Linked DNA regions of Nothobranchius furzeri. The protein of the gene in region 2 binds, or shares a complex with, the protein of the main gene of each other region. Links are inferred from orthologs where the notes say so. Each region holds a gene or a part of one and is shown on either strand. Other genes may lie near its edges. The genes, in order: rgmb and bmp2b.

Evidence for each region.
Region 1: the proteins of bmp2b (region 2) and rgmb are in contact, whole or in part, in a crystal structure (PDB 4UI2), measured with the Homo sapiens proteins. The link is inferred for Nothobranchius furzeri from reciprocal best matches to the Homo sapiens genes BMP2 and RGMB. Residues at the interface, in NP_001191.1 of Homo sapiens: Val308, Gly309, Trp310, Trp313, Met371, Tyr373, Leu374, Asp375, Glu376, Tyr385, Met388; in NP_001353437.1 of Homo sapiens: Lys97, Arg100, Gly101, Leu103, His106, Ser107, Leu110.

The regions. Positions count from the first base shown.
Region 1 is NC_091757.1:44,843,371-44,846,352, forward strand, and holds the end of rgmb (repulsive guidance molecule B), read right to left. Parts: intron 2,886-2,982; coding exon 2,109-2,885; 3' UTR 671-2,108; downstream 1-670. UniProt on the Homo sapiens protein: Member of the repulsive guidance molecule (RGM) family that contributes to the patterning of the developing nervous system. Acts as a bone morphogenetic protein (BMP) coreceptor that potentiates BMP signaling. Promotes neuronal adhesion.
Region 2 is NC_091742.1:22,693,024-22,697,322, forward strand, and holds the start of bmp2b (bone morphogenetic protein 2b), read right to left. Parts: upstream 2,898-4,299; 5' UTR 2,720-2,897; intron 1,943-2,719; 5' UTR 1,930-1,942; coding exon 1,575-1,929; intron 1-1,574. UniProt on the Homo sapiens protein: Growth factor of the TGF-beta superfamily that plays essential roles in many developmental processes, including cardiogenesis, neurogenesis, and osteogenesis. Induces cartilage and bone formation.

The DNA.
Region 1 (2,982 bases), on a different chromosome or scaffold from region 2:
GTGCTTTTTTCAAAACTGATTGATCTGAATGTTTTAGAAACAGTTAAATTTCATATAATTTCTTTCAAATGGACTAATGATTTCTGTTTGACTTTTCAGACATCTGAAAATAAAGAGCTGCTGATGCACAATGTGACTCTGAGTCGAGCTGAGAGGATTTCCACCCTACAAGATGTTCTCATCCTCATGAGTGCCTTCATAAAGATGGGTTGAATGTGGGTTTTCAGTACAGTTACATGAACTTGAAGATTTAGCTGTTAAAAATCCTCAGTGGCGCCTTTTTGAGTCTGTTCCCGGCCCAGGTGTCGCTGACTGTGGCAGTTGAAAACAGATTGTGTTTGTGAGGCCAAACCTGGTATCTGATCGAAGCCTAACCTCACACAGGTGTTTTAATGCTTCTATCTGTTGTGTGTGTGTGTGTGTGTGTGTGTGTGTGTGTGTGTGTGTGTGTGTGTGTGTGTGTGTGTGTGTGTGTGTGTGTGTGTGTCTTTAAACTTGTGTGTGGAAGTTCTGTTAGTACGAAATGATCCAGATCTTGTATTACAATAAAAAGAACTGAGAGATCTGGTCAATTTTACACCTTTTTTAAAAATCTTTTTGTTTGTTTTTGGCATTCTTGATTTGTCTATTATTTCATTACAAGTCTTAAATGTTAAAGTTAAGCATCATGAACCGTTTTGACTTTATTGTAATAAATAAAACACAAGCACACATTTTGTTTCCTTTTTGTTTGATTTTGAGCGCCTTTAGTAACACACCGACAAAGCAAGAGAGCACCACTAGGTGGCAGTACAATCACAGCTGACATTTCTTTTAAATAATTATCCAACAGCAAGAATATGGAGCTTAACTTCCTCTACGGGACACTACGTTTATAAATAAGTTAGTTATTTCAACACTGACCAGTCACTCTTCACCAAACTGACACTCACATGATGAAAAGAGATCACAATGTGAAAAACTTAAACTGATCTACATATGTTACATATTTATAGGGGTTGAATTTTCTACCAGGCATCAACGCTGCGCTTGCAAATTGTACAACAGCACAGTAAGGTGAAGTTTTCCCAGTCATCCGACATTTTTTTAAGAATTATTCCTGCATTGCTTTACATGCATCTTAATAAGAAACATCCGGAATAGGGAGAAAACAGATTACAAGTAGCTAATTTAAAACAAACAGGATACAGATGCTGGTTTGGTAGAGAGTTCCTGTACAGAGAAACATAAATGATCGGTCTTTGGCTCAAATTGTAACAGAAAAATACGGCGAGTACAAAACGTGATAGTGTAGTCACTTAAATTTGGCAAAACGATTGGAATACTTCTAATGTGACTCACGTAAAACGAAGCCACATTCTTCAGCTGCTTTCAAATAAAGAACCTGACAAGTCTAAACACTTTTACACACACACACACTTGAAACCATTTACTAACAAAGTACTGATGGCGTTTGCTGCAACGCCATAGCTAATACATTCAACAGAAAACCTCACATTGACTGAGTCCAGTCAGCTACTGGTAGAATGGTGCATTTAAACCAAAATGTCAGCTCCAACCATTCAAATGACTTTATCTTTAAGAAAAAGTGTGATGGAACAACGAGATACAGAGAAAATATGAACAGTTGTGAGTTTTGGTGGAGGACAGAAAGTGAAGAAGAAACACTGACTGGCATTGTGTGGAATAAAATGTTAAAATAAAGTGCTTTTGTTAAGAAAATCCTCTGTCTGAGGTACTTTTTTTTTTTAAAAATCACATCAAATGGCAAATCAAAAAACATCAACATCATTACAATGTGCACGGAAGAAATAAATGATCTATTTACAGTCGATTCATCCAAATAACAGCATTGGTTTTATTGTCGGCTGCATTTTCTGATTCTGGTTCTGACAGACAGTTTTCCTGTGCACACTGGGAGGGGGGCTCATCGCCTCTTTTAAACGACTTCCAGTTCCCAGTAAGTGTCCCGCCTGCTGCCTCCTCTCTGCATGAGAATGGCATCAGTATTCATTATCAGTGCTCAGCAAAAACAATCAAAAACAATGTCCTAAACTCTCTTCCTACTGCGCGCGCACACACACACACAAACATGGGCCTACATGCATTCAGGCACACATACTGGCTGACGCCACAACAGAGCTCAAAGCGCACAGCAGGAGCAGAGCGAAATGTTTGATAGACTGTGAATCAGAACGGAAGATGGATGTGGCAGAACCACGGGGGTAGATCCTCCACCGATCCTGGTGTGGATGGAGACTTTCCATGTCCTTCTGAGCGCTGTATGCAGCCACTGTGAAGTTAGCGTCCCCGGTGGTCAGGAGATCAAACACACAAGAGTGGAAATAAATGTCCAGCACCTCCAGCTGCTCTCTGCAACGCTCCTTCGCCCCTTCAACACCAAAAATCTGCGTGGCGCCATAGGGATGTGCTTGTGTCTGTGAGGAGAAACTGGGCTGACGCAACTGCTGTCGCTGTAGACCGAGTGCTGGAGGAGACAGCGGGAGGGGAAGATGTCCCGCCTGGTCGATGCGCTCGCTGCCGGGGCAGCCGTTCAGACACAGCTGAAGGTCCTGGGTGTCATCGTAGTCCTGAGCCAGCTCCTCAGGAATCCGCACCGCCAGCGTCAGGTAGCGTCCCAACTGGCGAACAATTATAGTTACGCCGATGTATCCAGCATGCAGCTCCACATGGCGCCCAGGACTGCGCTCAGAGATCCACAGAGCCCGGACCTTCCCAGCTGCACCATCTGCTCCAAGAGACTTGTGGATGGGGTCTCCACTGCTCACCGTCCCATCATCAAAGGCAGCAGGAAGGTTGTCTGTGACAGCCTGGTAGACCCTCTGATCTGTGCAGCCCTCATACGGCTTGAAGATGATGGTAATCTGCAAAAAGGAAGAAAAAAATTAGAACACTTGTTTTCTAAATATTTCATTGAAAATCTTGGGAGAATTTTAAAATAAATCACATTTTAGATTTAGC
Region 2 (4,299 bases):
CTCTTGTCTTCTCTGTCACCGTTTTCTCAGTTCCTTTCTGCAACTGTTCTCGATCTCGGTCTGGAACTGCTGTGTGAACAAGTTTATGCTTGTCAAAAGCACGCGAACCACAGATTTCCACAGCTTTATTTTTGTGCCACTCGCCAAAACAAAAGATAGATGCTAATATTGGATCGGCCATCTCTGGCAGCTGCGTCCTGTGCTACGGTGGAAAGGCTCTATTTGACTCGAGTTATTCCTGAAAACCAATTGTCCGAGCGAAAGGAGCATGGCGTGGCAGACGTGACGAAGGCTTGGAGCTGTTTGCTTTGATGTGCTGCATTAACATCTGTAGATCCGTGCTTATTACAGGGGGAACAATCCCTCGACGCGATACGGGAAGCCTAATAACCGCGCGGCTGTTAGCATAGGACGAAAAGAGCCAGGAGAAGACGTGTAAATGTCAACGTGTGTTGGCTGAGTGCAGAGGTTTCCAGCGGTGAGCTGGGAGCAGTCACTCAACCCTGCTGCTCAGGGTTGTTTGTAGTGTGTCAGTGTAGCCACTTGGTGTCATTGCACTAGGCCTTTGGAGAGCACCCAAGCAACCACTCAACCACCCCTCTGACTCACCCCTGATGGAAAGAAACTTCTCCACTCAAACACAGGACTCTGTATGAGGACTCTGCGCAGGGCCCCAATGGACCCAGCAACGTGGGTCACATTAAGATAAATAGATGTGCAAATCTACTATACCGGGAATAAGATGTTTATTATACAAAAACGTAAACATCGAGTGCTCCTGCTTTTAAAGCTGTTATAAACAAAGCATCATTTACTTTGTTAAAATACTGTTTAAATCCACATTTTAACAGCTGATCCAGAGTCTGCAAAACGTTTATTTTCATCCGAGAGGTGAATGAGTCATGTTTAAATATAGGTTTTTAAATTCAACTGAACTGAGACTTGTAGTTCAACTATCGCTGTCTTCTCCAAACTGGTTCACGCGTAATGATGCACAACTGGAAGCAACAGGAAGAAGGGAAGCCACGCCTCCTCTACGGCGTTACCAAGAGCTAATTTGAGTCTTGTTAAAGGTGACTCAGTCTGACACGGTGACTTCGTCATCGTGTGTGTTGCTCTGATGTCGGTTGTTTTTTGAAGTTGCAGGGTGACGTCTATCACCTGCGCACAGGCGCACCGCCCTTTATGCTGCTCCCGTGGTGCGTGTCTGGAAAAACAGTTTTCAGAATCCCACGCAAACACCATCAATTATTAAGAAACTAATGACCCCGGGGATACCGCCGCCCCTGATGTTTCTGAAGCCTGTGACAGCTGTGCTGGAGGGATGTTTGTCTAAATGTTGCACTGCTGCTTAGGTGAGAAAAGTCAACTTTGATGTGATTTTTGTGCATCAATCTTTAAGTTAAAGCATTTTTTAAGGTTGCAAATACCTTCGGAGCATGTCATCTGTAAATGACTAAACCTTCAGAAAACAGGGAAGACTCTGAAGTTCAGTGTTGACGATCTGAGTCATGTTTAAATATAGGTTTGCGCTGTCTGAGAGAGACATGTAAAGGTATGTCACTAATATATACCTTCATGGTGAAAGCTTCTAATCGTGTTGGCCTTGCTGGCGGCTCTCTCTGCGTGCTTCCCCATGCTCTTGGGCCGCTTAGTGCTGTGGTCTCCGTTCGCAGAGTGCATCCGGTAAAGGTCCACCATGTACTGGGGCACCACGGCTTGTTTGCTGGGGGTCGGCCTGCGTCTCAGCCCGAACATGTTGAGAAGCCGCAGCTCGAACTCGTTGAGGAAGCTCTCCGACTGCTCAGGGGTCTGTTTCCCGGATTCGCTGTACTTCCTCCGGCCTACCTCGGGGATGAGTCCCGCAGCACCTTCCAGCAGCACCTGAGCGAGCATCAGTACCATGAGAGAGCGGACCACGGCGACCATGATCAGTCAGTCCCTGTGGAGAAAGTTGGTTTCTGTCAATACACTGGCAGGCAATGTGGTATTGACGTGAGGTGGTCCCAGCTAGGCTCTCGCGGCAGCAGTTCCCAAATCCCCCCTCAGAGCGTAAAACTGAAGGGGAGCAGGTTAAAAAGGGGGAGACACCTCTTCACTTTGAAGTGCAGAAGAAAAAGAAAGAAAGAAAGAAAGAAAGAAAGAAAGAAAGAAAGAAAGAAAGAAAGAAAGAAAAACCCAGAGGCTAAACTGCTCCTCTAGTTTGGGTTGAACATGAACCCTAACATGAAATATCAAGGTGAAAAACTAATGACAGAGGTGGATTAAACAGACAAATCAAAGGATTTGAAGGGAAACGCTGCAGACAAAAGGTCTCCAGCGAGAAGAGATAAGAGATCTTGTTGCAGATATGAAAGTCCATGCAGAGAGAAGGATCAAAGGAAGAACACGCATCAGTTCCAGTCCCACTGCGCGCTGTTTGCATGTAATCATAAAGGATAGTTACTTCAAGAGGCTTGCAGGTGTTAGATCTGACGTGTGCCCCACAGCCAGGCATCAGAAACACAGACGGAGTCAAACAACTTCCACACAGACAACTTTTACCTCTATTTTCATTTTCTGTTTCTCCGTGGCTCAACAGGCGGAGGCTTTACGCACGAATTTATTATTAGAAACAAATGAGCTGTCACTTGTGAAGTGACCTTTCTGTGTTCAGTCCAAGTGCGGATTCAGGTTAAAACCTCCACATCGATGGTTATTCTTTATTCTAGCGATTTACCTGACGAGAACGCGCGGTGTCCGGTCGTCGTTCCACCTTTAAGCTCCGATAAATTCCACATTAATTCGTGTTTAATCCACGCTGCTTCTGCTTGGGGGACCGAAAACAGCCCGCGCCCTCCGCCGATCGCTTCTCGCACATATTCTCACCAGCTGCGCGTCGGGTTCGGGTCTTGCTCAGTCCGGAGAGGAAAGAAAAAAAGTAGAAAAATTAAGTCTACGAGGAAGCGGCTGCGCGCAGGCATAGCCGAACTAAGTGCGAGGAAGCTTGTCTGGACATTTTTAAAATTAGAAAAAAGAAAAGCTGAAAGTGGAGAAACGTGGAGCGTCGCGCGATGTTCGTGGAGAGATGAGCGCAGTGAAGTTGGTGCTCGGAGAGGGAGAGCTCTCCGGAGCGGGTCTATTGATTGGTGCCTTCTCTTTCCCCTGCGACGCTTTTTGTCCTACAGTGATGTCACTGGGCTGTCAGTCATCTGTCCAAACCGCACCACTTCCTGTGCGTAACTCCCGCAGGAGAAAAATCCCTCATTTCTAACTTCACAATGGAAAACTGTTTAAACTTTATTCCTCTCCCCTTCAGCAAACATCTACAAATGTGATTTGGATTAAAATCTGTAACAGGACCACCAAGAACAGGTGGAAGAGCTGGCAGGAGTTTATGAGCTGAGTTTATTACTACAATTTTTAACCAAGTATTTCCCCTCAGAATGTGTACTCAGCATATTTGAAGAAAAAAAAGTACTTTTTGTTTGCTTCTTTTGACAAACAAGTACTTTTGTTTGTTTGTTTTGCCAAAATAGATTCAGTGCATTTGAGATTCAAAAGGTTGCCAATGATCAAAATGCAAAATGTAGTGAGAAAAATGAACTATGTGGGACATTTGCAGTTATTAACAGTTTTTTCCTTTTAGCAAACACAACACGTTATTAAGGAATTACTTAAATCAACCAAATAGAAAGAATAAACAGGCTTCATCATATAATTTTACATTAACCCTTTGATGCATAATGGTCACTATACAGTGGACAGGTATTCAAAATTGTTATTTGTTTATTTTACAGCTGTTGAAGACTTTATTGCAATTGAGCTCCTTCATTTGGACTTCAGTAAGTCAAGCCAACATATTTCGTGTTCAGAATGCACGCTGTCCCCTGAGATGGACATGTAATAAATTATTTGTAAATTAACAAAATACTACAAATAATATTTGCTGAAATTTGTTTCATTCACACCTACAGATGAATGAAAAAAAAGTTTAAAAAATCATGGTTGAAGATTTCATAATTCATGCATCAAAGGGTTAATTTGTAATAAATATGACGAAACCAATTCCTTTCAACCTCTTAATTTCCTGTTATATGAACAAAATATCATTTTTTATCACTTTTAAAGGACAGTTGTGTTAATTAACTATCAAGTTTCTAAATGATCAAACTTGAGGTTTGTTGCCACGGATAAGAAAAAAAATCAATTCATTTGAAAAATGTAAACCCTAAACTGCTTTTAACCTGTTAAACCTGCAGCTCTTCCCAGCTGACGTCATCCGTCCAATATGGCGCACCTGTTGACATTTCTTTGCCA